4 linked regions of the Coturnix japonica genome follow. The protein of the gene in region 3 purifies or fractionates together with the protein of the main gene of each other region. This does not show direct contact. Links are inferred from orthologs where the notes say so. Each region holds a gene or a part of one and is shown on either strand. Other genes may lie near its edges.

Region 1 (3,500 bases), on a different chromosome or scaffold from region 3:
TTTTGGTCAGTCGGTATTTTCTAGAAAAACACAATTGTTAAATAATAAATATAAATAGTGAAATTCATGAAATGCTTTTGTTCCTCAAAGCCTGTCAAGGTGTTCAATTAATTCTTTAACCCTCATCTATCCCACTGTAGTCTGAAAAGTCTGTTAATCTCTAAATTCAATGTAGTTTTGTCCCAGCAGTTATATATTCTTCCTAAGAAGTTAGATGTTTTTATTCCAAGGTAGAAGTGGGACTTGTAGAATGAACTAGGCATGGACAGATTTGGGTCTTGACAAGCTGTATAGGAAATTAATTTGTCAGCTCAAGATATGTAACAGAGCATCCTAAATCCTGTGAGAAGCTGTGACCTATTTAATGCAAGGTCTATTAAAATAATGCCGTATCAGAATTTCTCTTGTAGGCCTCCGGTGGGGGCAGATTCCAGTGATGGAGATATAGGAACCTAAAGTTCAGGAAATATACTGAAAAATTCATCTTTATTAAGCTAAAGAGAAATTGGAGGCTACCTTCTTACAGGAGACTGCATTACTACTAGTTATTTTCCAGATTCTCATGCTACCATTATTTATTGACAGAAAAAAAAATAAAAAAATAAATAATAATTAATTAAAAAAAAAATGGAGAGGGAAAAATAGCTCATGCAGTAATTGCTGACTTTGGATAATTACAACTGTTCAGACAAATTTAGTATCTAGATAACACATCCACCTGATGATAATGTTTGAGCCTGGAAAAGTGACTAAAGTACCAGCTCCCAGAGAATGGTACCGTGTTTTCTTTGTTCTGTTTCCATACAAATCCCAGCTTTTTTTCTTTTTTAAAATGGAATACGATAAGAGGTTCTGTAATCAACAGATAACTTCATGAAGTACATGATGAGATCATTAATTCATATATCTGCTTAGTCTAGATGAGAACTGACAGACTCTGCTTCTGTCTCTTCAGGCTAGCTTTATTCATGAAGATATAGAAAGTGCAATCAGTGACAGCAAGAGTGGAAAACAGAAGAAGAGACTTGAAACACTGAGGTAAAAACCTAGTTTCTTGGCAGTATAGGGCGTCATGAAGCATGCCCCAAGTTTGTCTGCTGTTTCTTTCTCTTTTGTTTTGTCTAGTTGATAATATACTTCAAAAAGCATATGTGGTGGATTTGACTTACTACGTCAAGCTCTCTTGGATTATAGTTTCACTCTTTACTTTCCCAATTCTGCTTTAGTAAGTGGAACAGCTGACGTGAATGCAGGTTGCTAGAGAATAGCATTATGTGTCTTGAGTTCTGTATTTGGGTAAAGTAGTTCAAAATTTGAATTAAATATATAAATGTTCCCAAATTCCAAGTAAGGAAAGTTTGGGGATCTGAAGATGTTAAAGAAAACAACAACTAAAGATGAAAAAAAAACTCCTGCCTGCTTATTGACTCGAAAAACTTGTTTCCCCGGTAGGAAAAATTTCTCTCCCAATTGGAAAAAGTGGAGTAAAAGGGTCTGTTGGCTTCAGATTATTACAGAAATGAGCAGTAGCTGGTGCAGGCATAGAAACAAGGGCACAAATATGTTAAGTACTGAATAGGATGGTGGTGGTCTGTGTGCTGCATCCTGAAGATATTCTCAATAATATTTCTCTGGCTCAGTAAGAGAATTCTCTGCTGTACAAAAATCTTCAAGTAAAAATGTCACTATTATATAAATTTATTGCTGCCTTAGTTGCCTATTAAATTCTGATGTGCAACTTGTGTTGTTTTCATAGAATGATGGACACTTACATTGAAATGAAAAATATAAAGGAAGAAGTGCATCAAATTTTACATATGGGTTTAAAATTAAGCAAGTAGGCTTTAATGTTTGAGGTATGGTAACAGATAAGTGTAAGCACAGAGATGTGTATCACAAGGATTCAAGCACTTTGGGTGTGGGGGAAGGCTGATGAGATTTAATTAGGAAATGAATGTAGGTCAGTACATCCACAGGGAAAAGTAATCTGACATATCAGTCTCTAAAAGCTTTGAGGCCTAAAGGTCATTAGTGCATGACAGTTCAGTGCTAGATACTTGCTGTCATGTCATGTATGTGTTAACATTGGGCCACGAGAAGAAAGCATTTTCTAGATGGGTCCTGTTTGACTAGTCTGGAGATACTGTAGTAAGTCTGGCACTGCACCATCAAATTGCTGCAAGATTATTTGCAAGTAAAAAAGTGTAGGAGATACAAAAGAGAATGCTCAGGAAACTCTAGGAGACCGGAGGAAGGAACTGTGAAGAAACCATCTTTTTTTTTATGAATGACCAAATTGTGTTTTTGCTGTTGTTGAATGCCATGAATGAGATGGGATCATAAAGTGAAGAATTTAAGATGAAGATCCTTCTTTTAAATAGGGATGGAATGTGCATTTCAAAGGATTTGTTGGGATTTTTTGTCTTTTGATACTGAATTACAGAATGACTTCAAAGATCTCTTTCCTTGTGGTTTGATCTCTTTCCTTATGGTTTTTAAAGGCGGATTAAGAACCAGAAAAGTGGAAAAATGATTTTAAATTGAGACAGGGGAGGTTTAGGTTAGAGATTGGAAGGAATTTTTTCACACAGAGATTGTTGATGCACTGGAACAGGTTGCCCAAGGAGGTTGTAGATGCCCCATCCCTGGAGGCATTCAAGGCCAGGCTGGATGTGACTCTGGGCAGCCTGGTCTGGTGGTTGGTGACCCTGCACATAGCAGGGGGTTGAAACTGGATGATCATTGTGGTCCTTTTCAACCCTGGCCATTCTATGATTCTATGAAAATTCAAAATAGGAATAGTCATACATTTGCATCAAGATAGGATGAACAGATTGATCTAAAAAGGAAAATCATCCTGTGAATGTTTTTGTTGGTAGGGTTTTAAGAAGCTGTTCGTTGTCAACCCATCAAACATAAGGAACAGGTACACAACTGATGATGGCTGAAAGATGACTCTGAATGAAGAATTTAGAACAGTATTCAAGTCTAACTATCAGTACACAAAGCACAGCTTCTAGCCATAGAAGCAATCAGATCTCTAGACAGCACATTTTCTGTCAGTGCTTTGGAATTTACCATAGAATCATTAAGGTTGGAAAAGACCACTAAGGTCATCAAGTCCAACAATCAACCCATCACCCCTTTTCCCACTAAACTGTGTCCCATATATGGGCTGCGTGAAAGACTATTTGTTTTATTGATGCACATTTTTCTAACTTCATCATAGCAAGGGTTTCCTGTTATGTTTTATCTATTTACATACCCTGACCTTTAGTACTTGTGACTTGGCAAGTCCATAGCATGTTTGACAGTAAAAGGGTCCTGGTAAACCTTGTTTTCTTCTCTGATTACGCACTAGAAATGTGTTGACTTCACTGATGGGCCCCTTTGTCTTCCTGCAGGATGATCTCCAGTGCTGATGGCGCTATCCCTCCACCACCACGGGCTCCTGCCCCTGTTCCCCCAGGGACTGTCACCCAGGTGGATGTGAGAAGCCG
Region 2 (3,500 bases), on a different chromosome or scaffold from region 3:
GAAAATACGAGAAAACACAGACTACTCAAAACATGCAGAGCTTTTTTTCCTTCTTTAACTCCATCAGAAACACCTGTCAAGCATCTGCACCTTTTTTAGTGAATCTGACTTGGGCTGGGCTTGTTCATGCTGCTTAGCTTTAAATGAATCTTTTTATTTTCCCCTTGTGTAATAGCACTGGGCCCAAAGGAACCCATTACATCTTCTATTACTGCCTGCTGGCAAAGAACTATCAAATGAGACTCATTTTGTAAGTATAGCCCATTTTACACATGCTGTTAGCTGAACAGAAATACTGAAATTTGCTTAATTCTTGCACAGAGAGTAAGGAAAATGCGAGATAAGTTCAAATGCCTTCCCCAGTCTTTAAGCACTACCATTCTCTAGCACATTTTAGCACAGACCAGGGCTAATACAAGATCATTTGTGATAAACTTGTAAATTTTGAGTGCAAAAGAGGATACTGAAAGTGAAAAGGTTTCCCAATCCCTGTTCTTTGAGAAAATATACTGTTTTCTACTCATCACATTTAACCTCGTCTGGTTACTCATCCAGGACAGACATTTGTGAATAAGGAACACTGGGTATGGCTCAAGGACTTCTTATGTTAATAAAAGGAGTCATTTAATAGCTCCCAGCACTGAGGACTGCATGTGTTCTTCTGATGCATGAACCATCACAGCTCTCTTATAGAGTAAGAGACAAATCCAGGGTATCAGATTCAAGTCACATTTAGTCACTCTGGCCTGGATCAAGCAGACTTATCTGTAGCTCAGTTTTCTTGAATTGCAACATCTGCCCCTTTTCTTACAAACACACTTTAATAAATATATCACACAAAATATGCAGCACTTCGAAAAGTTATAATCTAGTGCATCTGGAATATACTGTCTTTAAAAATACTTCCAGCAATTCTCTAGCATCAAATAGGTTTGAATATTTAGTAATGAAACCTACAACCAAACTTGTCAAAGGCCACTTACTGGAAAGTACAAATTTCCATCTTGTTATCCTGTGACATCCTTAAGACGTTTTAACTGTATAGTCTCCAAATTAAACCAGGAATGCGAATGGCTGCCATACCAGACCAGTCGTATCAACACAAATGCCACTCTGATTATAACAGTAACTATGTCGTTCAGGGTAAATGTGGAAGTGACATTAGCAATCTGGTGTGTTATAGCCATTAAAGGATTACAATTGCTGACAATCTATTATTGTACACAAAAAGGATTTTTGCCATTATCCAATCATAGTAAATATGGCATTTTATTGGAAAAAGAAGTGTGTATGATTTATGCTCAGCTGTCAAGAGACTTGGAAAATCCCATTTATGTAAGAATTCCCTTAGGCAAGCCATGGTTTTGTGGAAAATCTGCTACTAGCTGTTAACAGCTGTATTTTGAAACCTGCTCTAAAATAAATGTCATGCAAAGTACAGAATCTAAATTTCCTTAATTTGATTTTTCTTAATAGTGAAATTTCAACATACGTAAAAGGACGCAGCCAAAGACCACGTTACTGCTCTGACACTTCATTTTTCCTGAATGACACACCACTATCATACCTACACATTCAGAACTGAAACAGCTTTCTACACTTTAGAATTGGATACCACATTCCATCAGAAGTTATTTTTCATAACCAGATGCTGCTCTATTTTCCACATTTCAAACATGTAGCCTAGAATACCCTACTAACTGGGGTTACAGGATCTTTCCTTATTTCCCCATGTAACCAAGAGATATCTAGGAAGGCAAAAAAGTTTCCTATTTGAGTATTAGCTAATCTTATTGTCATATAGACACATCACAAAGCTCGCATACCATTTAAATCCAATAAAAATTCTATTTTGTAAGCACAAGCTACATCCTATTGAGTGTCAGAAGTACTTGTTTTCTTTGGGCCACTAATCTTCGTATTACTTAAAGCAACTTAGGAAAAATTTGGGGGAATAGTATATAACTTTACATACAATCTAAGATGCTATCAAGTTAAATGCAAAAACCCTATCTGGACAAACAATTACATACCAAGGCAATCATTAGGAAGGTTAAAAATATAAAATGAAGGCATACTCCCAGGATTTCCAATAATGTTACAAAGCACTACTATTAATATGAATCACAATAGTACTAAAGTTACACGTTTTCAAACAAACATCACTGTCATATTTTGCCCTGTGTTCTTATAAATGTAGTTTATTATTATTTCTATTTTATGTATCGGCGATGTTTGAGTGACAAAATAAGAAGCCTTCAGTACAGGTCTTAACTTACATTCCTCTTCTTTTGGATCAAGTTGTGTAACACTGACAGACAGGCGATCTACACGTTCTTGTAAGGAGTTGACTCTAAATGAGAAACTGTGCGCTTCATTGAAAAGTTCGCCAAATATATCTTCAGCATATTTACCTAAAACAGAAAAGAATAAAAAGATAAGCAGGCATACCCCACAAGACAAGCTTGCCTTTAGAATGATTTCTGATAACTACAGAATAAGTACATTTCAGGTGCATGACTACAATTTCCAACAGCCTACACTTACAAAGCAAATTCAGAATGCTTCAAAAATGTAAATAAAAGTTAAATAGTAGAAATTACTAAAAAAAAATTTTTAAAAATTAGAAATTAATTTACTTATCATAAATGAAATTATTTCATACATTACACGACAGACATTCAGCTGGTTTAAATTGACCCAACTATGCAGATATCCAAGGAGCTAGACCAACTAGCTTCTTGGATTTGCATAAAAGGATGATCTACAGCTTTTAAAGCTGCCTCTGTATGAGCATTAACTGAACTTTCCAGGTGAAATCAATCACATTTCTTAAAGCACAGCTCCCACTCCTGTGGTTCAGAAGACCTTTCAAAAATGATAGATCAGACGTCTACTTCTAAGTTTATTAGAAACAACCTAATCAAAAATGCACATTAGAATAATACACTATACTTTGAAAGGTCAAAATTCTAGTAAGTGGCTAATTTACACTGAAGTAGAATAAGAATTCCTTTTGTTCAGTTCAATGGACATCACTTTTAGTCCAGCAGATAAGGAGATTCAGGTCTGAGAAAAGGCTTAGTAATGTTCTAAATAAAAATGAGGACACAAGGACATTAAAAGGAAAAGTTAAATTGCCACAGGTGGTTTGTCAGCTATTTAAGGATACCAAATGGATGGAGGTCTGGAGAACAACTCTTATGAGGAGCAGCTGAAGAAACCAGGATTGTTTAGTCTGGAGAAGAGGAGGCTAAGGGAGACCTTATAGCCCAAGGTCCCCATCTCCCTTGTCAGAGATATTAAGATTGGATGCTAGGAAAAATTTCTTCTCAAAAGGAATGGTCAGGCACTGGAATATGCCACGTGAGAGGTGGTTGAGTCACCATCCCTGGAGGTGTTCAAGAAACATTTAAATGTTGTACTGAGGGATATGGTTTAGTGGGGAAATACTGGTGGTAGGTGGTTGGTTGGACTGGATGATCTTGGAAGTTTTTTCC
Region 3 (4,116 bases):
CAGGCACCCGTTCCACCCCCACACTACAACACAGCACAGGTGGTAACACACAGGAACAGTTTCCCCATTGAGGAGCACAGAGACTTTTCCGAAGAAAGAAAGTAAATGGCTCAAATTCAAAGCTAACCAGAGTGAAACAGTTACATGCTATGGGCCAAGCTACAATGCACATCCACTTCCGAACTCTTTTAACACTCAATACCCATGTTCTTTGTTCTGGACTATTATTATTATTTAAGTAAATGCACCCTGATGCATTGATTGGTAGTTAGCTGTCCCACTATATGAAATGCAAGCACTTGTATTTTGTGTTAAGCCTCTTCCTCTTTCTTCTCACCCCCTTTCCAATCCCATATAAACACATGCTCTCCCCATTCTCATAACCCAGCACCCCGTGTCACGCTGCCTAATCCTCCCGCAGCCTCACCACCACGATCTGCTCCGCGCTCCAACTGGAGAGCAGATGGCTTGGCACCAAGCGCTGATTAAAAAGTCCGCCTTTACCACTCTAAGACAGTAAATGTAGTTTTATCAATACATTTGTCATTTTTACCAAGTTGAGTAAATGCGTGACACATCCACAACATAGCCAGGCATACGTTTTTCAGAGCTACTGCGTAAGTCCTCATTAGGAACTTCAGAATGTCAGCTTCCTTCCAAAGAGGTAAACACAGCTGTATGCAGACAGACCATGCTGCAGCAATCCCTGCAGCCTATATTGGTACCCGAGGTGAAAGTCAGCTACCAGACTTAAAAATAAAATGAAAACACACCACCCCCAAGCGCATGGAAGGTAACTACCCCAAGTGTCGGTTTATTTCTTTGTCTGCATTAAGACTCACAAGTTCCATGGCCCTGAACAGCAATCTGACTGAAGCATCTCTAACTTTCTGACACAGAGGAAAAAGTCAGGAGCAGCAGCAAGTTGGGAGCAGCAGCAGGCAGGTCAAAACTTGTGCCGCGGTTACCACACTTAAGTATTTGTCATATTTCCCATGAGTAAAACCAAATGAACCTCGCCTCGTAGAAGCATTTCTATCAGCAGCTTTCTCTGGGTGGAGCAAACAAATCGGAAGAGTAAATACACATTAACTCATGTTCCCTCACATACCAAAAATAACAAAACGCCTCAAAATATGACTTGTTGGTGCAGTTTTAATCTGAGCATCAAAATCACTAAAAATAAAAATAAAATAAAATAAAAAAGAAATTCACACTGAGTTGTTAAAGCTTTATTTTCAGATTCACTGTTCCATTGCTACAAGCAGTAAGACAGCTCACTGGCAACAGTAGATGACAAAGATGTGAATAACCTGTATTAAATGCTCGCTGTAGGTAACCCTAGCATAGCTTTGGTTGGAAGGGGCCTTACAGACTGTCTACCCAGTTCCACCCCTGCCATGGGCTGCTTCCCAGCCAGCAGCTCAGGCTGCCCAGGGCTCCATCCAGCCCAGCCTTGAGTATATCCAGGGACGGGGCACCCACTGCTCTCTGGGCAGCAGTGCTAGGGCCTCTAATACACGAGTAAATCCACTGTTAGGTTCAACAAGTTCACTGCACGAGCAGTGCTTCTAGTAAAGGGAAAATTATTTGCCTTCCCTTGCCATTTTTCTTTCCCAAAAGAGGTTTGATTTGAACATTTCCTGACGGTTCCACATCCACATTGGCATGGCTGTATACTCAGACTCACATTCAGAGTCGTGAGCTGCAAATCTTGACCAAAAAATAATAATAATAATGACAGAAAAGCTGGAGGTAGTTGCACTAAATCAGCCGTAAGTGAAGAGCAGGAAGCACGGGCCATGCACGGAAAAAGCCCACGCCGGGCGCTGTGGACACGCCGCAGCCCCGGAGCCTCCAGCAGCAGCAGCTCCAGGATGTCGGACCGCGGCACGGATTGCCATTTTGAAACACCACATCACGCCCGCCCGTCAGTCCCCGCACACGGGCGCTCCCAGCTCCCACACGCCGCCCGTTTCGGCGACCAGCCCCGCGTTGCGGCACTACAAGACGGCGACCCACGGCCCGAACGAGCCACCACCGCCGTTGATTCCCTGTGAGGACGGCGTTGCTCGGTGCCCGCCAGGCTCGGCCGCGGCGCTGCGGATGGAGCGAGGCCGCCTCACCAACGGCCGCCAACCGCCGCCCCGGGAGGGCAGCCCCCGAGGCGCCGGCTCCGAACCGGCCGCAAGGAGAAGCCGCCCCCCCCCACCAACACACACACCCGGCCCAAGGAGGTCTCCGGGATGTGACTCATGAGGAATACACACGGAGGGGGAGGAAGGAAAAAAATATATTAAAAAAAAAAAAGACACACCCTCCTCCTCCGAGCTGGACTGACATAATATAATAAACCCCCTCCCTTCCCCTCCGGAGCCGGGCTGGGGGGGGGGGGGGGGGGGAAAGCCGGTTGTTCGGCAGCGAAAGTTGAAAGAAAAGGCAAATCCGGGGGAGCGGCGGAGCTGCCCCCGAGGCGGCTCCGGCCCCACGCACCCATCCCACCCCGCCCCACAGCCGCCCCTCACCTGGATGTAGTTGTTTTCGCAGTAGTCGGCGACTCGAGTGAGGTTCTGGTAGCTCTCGAGCAGAGCCCGCTTGCCAGAAGGGATTTCCTCCTCTAGTAACATCTGCAACTCTGCCATTTTCCACCCCTCCGCATCGCTTCCTCTTGCATTAAAGAGACAGCGGCAGCGCCGGGCTCACAACCCGCCTGGTATTGTGGGATTCCTCCTCGCCTCGCTTTCGTGAGCGCTCAGTATCCCCACCCATCCTGCCCTCACAGGGGAAAAAAATAAAAAGAAAGAAAAAAAAAAAGAGACAAGACCCCGCCCGCTCTCAGAGCACGCCGGGAGCTGTAGGCGCCGGCCGCCCCGCCGTGCGCATGAGCGGGGTGGGGTCGGTCATGGCGCCGGGCAGCGCCGCCCGGCGGGGATGGAGGTGTCTGAGCTGGGTTGTGTTGTGTCAGGCGGCAACAAAAGCCCCATGTCCGCTCCTGCTGCGCTGTGTTAGTGTCGGCTCCTCAGCAGAAGGCAAAGGGCTCCATCGGGGAAGCGCTGCTGCCTCTGTTGTAGGAGGTTCGGAGAAACCTCTCAGATCCCGGAAAGCAAATGGGATCCTGGGCTCCATCAGGAGAGGGGTGGTCAGCAGGGATAGGGAGGTGATCGTCCCTCTCTACTCGGCTCTTGTGAGGCCCCATCTGTTGTACTGTGTCCAGGTGTGGAGCCCTCAGTACAAAAAAGACATGGAGATTTTGGAAAGGGTCCAGAGGAGGGACACAAAGATGATCAGGGGGCTGGAGCACCTTCCCTATGAGGACAGGCTGAGGGAGTTGGGTTTGTTCAGCCTGGAGAAGGTTGCGGGGTGACCTCATTGCAGCCTTTCAATACCTGAAGGGAACTTACTCCCAGGAGGGGAGTAAACTCTTCGAAAGGGCTGACAATAGCAGGACTAGGGGAAATGGTTTTAAGTTAAAAGAGGGAAGATTTAGGTTGGATGTTAGGGGGAAGTTCTTCACTAGGAGAGTGGTTAGGCCCTGGAACAGGCTGCCCAGGGAGGTTGTGGATGCCCCGTCCTTGGAGGTGTTCAAGGCCAAGTTGGACGGGGCCATGGGCAACCTGATCTAGTAAAGGTGTATGTTTGGTGGCCCTGCCAGGCAGGGGGGTTGGAACTACATGATCCTTGAGGTCCCTTCCAACCCGGGTCAGTCTGTGATTCTGTGATCGTCTAGTCCTGCCATCAGCTCATTTTCACCGTGTTCCTCAGTGCTGCATCTACTCTTTACTTGAACACCTCTCTCATGGGATGGTGACTCCACTGCCTCCATAGCAGCCCGTTCCAGGGCCTCACCGCTCTTTCTGAGGGGTTTTTCCTAATATCCAACCTGAGATTTCCCTAGTGCAGCTTGAGGCCATTCCCTCCCCTGCTACTGTTGCTACCTGGGAGAAGAGGCAGACCTCCACCTCACAACCTCCCTTCAGGCAGTTATAGAGGGAGAGAGAAGGTCTCCCCTGAGCCTCCTCTAGTCTGAACAACCCCTTAGCACTCCCCACAAGCCTTGTGTTCTAGAACCCTCATCAGCTTCATTGATTGCCCTTCTCTGGACACCCTCCAGGGCCT
Region 4 (3,500 bases), on a different chromosome or scaffold from region 3:
ACTTTGGACATTTTGCTCATAATGTTTCATCCCTCAGAATCAGAAGGGGTTTGTTTCTGACAGCAAATCTGAGGGCAAAAAAAATGTAGGTTTCCTTTACCTTTTCATTCAAATACACCCAACTGCGTTTTGCAGGGTTTGTGGTTTTTTTTTAAGAGAATTAAGCCAAAGCTACAGCAAAAGAATGCAGTTAGAGTCATGTTTAGGTAAAAATCTTCTGTCTCACTGCAAACCTAAACAGACACTTATATTCAACTTAGGGTATCCTGTTCTTTCCATCTAGCTGTGACTGGGCTGTGTGGCATAGCTCATCCTTTTGTGTTCTTGCTCCTGCTGGTTTCTGCCAAGGCTCCAACATCCTATAACGTATCAAGACATCATAGAACATTCAATTTGTGCTGTGCTCAGAAACGGCTCTGAGAGCCAGTCAGGGATCTGTGCTGCTTCACCAGCAACACTTTCATACCAAAATAACAAGCACTTGCTATTTAGGTCAGGAAAATAGGATCTTGGTTGGATCTATATTCCTCATATCTTGTTTTCCACAAAAAATAAAGTGCTCAATTCTCCTCTTCCTTTTAAAAATATATATCTGTAAGCTCCCTCATTCCAGTAGTTTCAGCATTGTGAAGTGTTGGAACGTGATGGAAAACCAGAACTGGCATCCTTAGTGGAGAAAGTAAATAGAGAGCAGGAGTCCTTTGGTATTGTTGGGTCTTGGGCACTCTTGTGGTGCTCTTCTTCACCATGTGAGGAAAACAACTTGCCTCCAGAGGCTGGATCCTTCCCTGGCACCCAAGGGGTTCAGCCTGATCTCCTGAGATGCTATTTGACTATCAGATTACTGTGCTGCACTGCTTCCTCCCAGAGGTTCAAGCATTTGTCTCAGCAATTAATGGAGAACTGAGGTGTAAAGATATCTAGCACTTGCACGTGTGGGTTATTTGTTGATTATGAGGGAGTGCATGTTTGGGAGAACAAATGCATCCCACACAGCAGGATCTCCTTTAGCACTAGTACAGTGCTGGCTGTTGTTTTCTAAGACAGTGCATTCCAGCTGGGGTGTTTCTACTAATTAGTTATGTATTTTCTTTGAGAGAATAAGGACTCAGGCTCTGCCATTTCAACATCTGTAGTAGCATGCAGGTTTCTGGGCATGATGGAACACATGAAAAGAACATGTATTACCAAGTCTGTCTATTTGAATGGTAAATATCTGCGATGTCCTGGCTAAAGCTGAGAAATAAAAATATCACCAGTGGTGACATTAGCATAATTTGGAGCATGTGGTTTGATCTTTAGATTCAGGCATAAGGTTTTGTGTCACTGCAGTGTCAGCACCAAGGGGAAGCAGGGAAAACCACAAGCTTTTAATATCTCCTCAAGTCCCTACTGAATTTGTTCTCAGTATCTAATATATCCAGACATATTAGATGAGCTGAGTAGGAACAGGAAACAGATTCCAGCATTCCCTCACAATGATTTTGAGCCTGGAAAATGCTGTTTTCATTATGCTTATCCTATGATTTACCTTTTCTAAAGAATCACACCATTTCTGTGCGCTAGGAAGTTTACTAAGCCTTCCTGATAGACACCATTCTCTTAAGAAGTAGTTGCTGTGACTAAAAATTTGTTTAAAACAAGGGAAAACAGCATGTCAGAACATACAAAAATTACACATCCCAGCTCTCATCCTTGGCTGAATTTCAAAGATCACATATGGTCAAGGTAAATACAACTGCCTCCTGTCAGGATTGGTGTCTGTTTCCACCCAAGTTAGTATGTGCAAAAGCATATTCACATGAATCCAATACAACCCCTTCTATGGTCCATAAGAAATTTCATTTACTTCATGGAAGATGTGTCTTCGAGGGAGAACCCTTTGAAATAAAATAAGCAGACATCCCAATAGCAGGGGAAAAAAAAAAAACCAAAACAGGCCTTTTTTGATTCCTCCAGCTCTCTGAAGTGCTGAAGAATTATTTGGCAGCTACATCATTGCTATTCTGAAGCCCAGGTGCCAGATGCTAGGAAGGCCAATGACTTGGCAGAGAGCAAGAAGAAATCCACAACCATTCTGGCATGGCTCCTCTGCACTGCTCCTTCCTGAGGCTGCTGCTATAGGTGGAATCCTGCCTTCATCCCCCCCAATTCCCAAAAAGAAGTCAGGGTCTGTCTTCAGCCCTGGTGGCACGTGTCATGAGTGGGGTTGATTTTTCCCCATTGCTTCTGCAGTGAGATGGGGCTCCCAGTGCAGTAGAAACACGCAGCTCTTCTGAAAGGGTCCCCCACCTTTGGGGCTGCAATATGGCTTCAGATTTTTGTGTTTGGCTGGATGAATCACAGGGAAAACCAGATTTCATGGAAGAAAAGCACATTTCAACCTCCCACCCCCACCCACTCCCAAGTCCAAAAGTTACAAGTAAAATTGGTCACAGGGATGGAACAGAAGAACATGCACTCAACAGGGCCAGATGGGAAGATAAGTCCTTGTAGTGAGCATACCCAGTCTTACTTTGTTGCCAGGTCTCACGCCATCAAGTTCATCCTCCCAGTCATCCTGGGCTCAGTCTCTTCTCCCTTCCCAAAGCACACAGGGTTAGTGTCACACTAGCAGGTGGTGGCCAGTGACTGGTGAATGGGAGGCTGGAAGCAGCGCACGTGCTCCACTGTGGAACTGTCTGTTTCCACTGACTTCATGTACTTGTTCAGGATGGCAAAAATCTCATTGTTGAGGATCTGATACTTCCTTATCCTGTCAGCCATCTTTTTCAAGGGCTGGAGGAATGGTGAGAAGGAAAAACAGTAGGTCAAGAGAGTCTTATGTCATTTAACCAGCCAGAAAGCATCAGTACATCTGCCCTGCTGCTGAGAAACCTCTGCTAATACAAAGCAGCTATAGCACGTGTTACAGTTCCACTTAGCAGCTACCATGAGACTGGTGACTCACTTCATTTTGGGGTTTGATGACTCAAGACAGAATTAACAAGGTCAGTGTGTGGTTCTATGTAAATCGATCTAGAGTCTGGACTCCCAGCTGCTTATTGATGAAGCCGCAGAGATCAGATAATGGTTGATGGAAGTACCAGCTTCTCTGCTCCAGCTTCCCAACCCCAGGAAGAAAGGAAAAGCTTTGGGAGAAGAAAGATTTGATTGTCAAGCCAATTAAAATCCTGGCCTCTCTGCTGAGACTGCAGGTGGATATCTCACAGCAAGCATATTCAGCTTGAATAAGATCAATGCCTGGAAAGTTTGTAAGTTATAAGTTTGAACAAGGCAAATCAAAAAACAGAGATGTGTGCTAGCTCAAGTCTTTCAGAGCCTTACCCTTCAACTTACCACATTTTTAATGATTTCATCCTTCCCGTCCTGCCTCTGCACCTTCAGCAGGTGGTAGCAGAAGTCAAATAGGTCAAAGCGTCGTTGTTGTCCAAGGAGAACAATGATAGAACAACCTGCCCAATTCAGACCATCTCCAAAGCACTGCCTAGAATGGGGAC

Evidence for each region. The genes of interacting proteins can lie anywhere in the genome.
Region 1: the proteins of ABI1 (region 3) and EPS8 purify together in Homo sapiens (affinity purification with western blotting; 4 studies listed by BioGRID, with this or other methods). This does not show direct contact. The link is inferred for Coturnix japonica from reciprocal best matches to the Homo sapiens genes ABI1 and EPS8.
Region 2: the proteins of ABI1 (region 3) and WASF1 purify together in Homo sapiens (affinity purification with mass spectrometry; 6 studies listed by BioGRID and IntAct, with this or other methods). This does not show direct contact. The link is inferred for Coturnix japonica from reciprocal best matches to the Homo sapiens genes ABI1 and WASF1.
Region 4: the proteins of ABI1 (region 3) and CYFIP2 purify together in Homo sapiens (co-immunoprecipitation; 4 studies listed by BioGRID and IntAct, with this or other methods). This does not show direct contact. The link is inferred for Coturnix japonica from reciprocal best matches to the Homo sapiens genes ABI1 and CYFIP2.

Annotation. Positions count from the first base shown.
Region 1 is NC_029516.1:57,642,518-57,646,017, reverse strand, and holds part of EPS8 (epidermal growth factor receptor kinase substrate 8), read left to right. Parts: intron 1-955; coding exon 956-1,038; intron 1,039-3,404; coding exon 3,405-3,500. UniProt on the Homo sapiens protein: Signaling adapter that controls various cellular protrusions by regulating actin cytoskeleton dynamics and architecture. Depending on its association with other signal transducers, can regulate different processes.
Region 2 is NC_029518.1:60,697,578-60,701,077, reverse strand, and holds part of WASF1 (wiskott-Aldrich syndrome protein family member 1), read right to left. Parts: intron 2,415-3,500; coding exon 2,280-2,414; intron 1-2,279.
Region 3 is NC_029517.1:14,486,412-14,490,527, reverse strand, and holds the start of ABI1 (abl interactor 1), read right to left. Parts: upstream 2,801-4,116; 5' UTR 2,643-2,800; coding exon 2,526-2,642; intron 867-2,525; exon of another isoform or gene 852-866; coding exon of another isoform or gene 843-851; intron 1-842. UniProt on the Homo sapiens protein: May act in negative regulation of cell growth and transformation by interacting with nonreceptor tyrosine kinases ABL1 and/or ABL2. May play a role in regulation of EGF-induced Erk pathway activation. Involved in cytoskeletal reorganization and EGFR signaling.
Region 4 is NC_029528.1:13,078,828-13,082,327, forward strand, and holds part of CYFIP2 (cytoplasmic FMR1-interacting protein 2), read right to left. Parts: intron 3,488-3,500; coding exon 3,340-3,487; intron 2,779-3,339; coding exon 2,611-2,778; 3' UTR 1-2,610. UniProt on the Homo sapiens protein: Involved in T-cell adhesion and p53/TP53-dependent induction of apoptosis. Does not bind RNA. As component of the WAVE1 complex, required for BDNF-NTRK2 endocytic trafficking and signaling from early endosomes.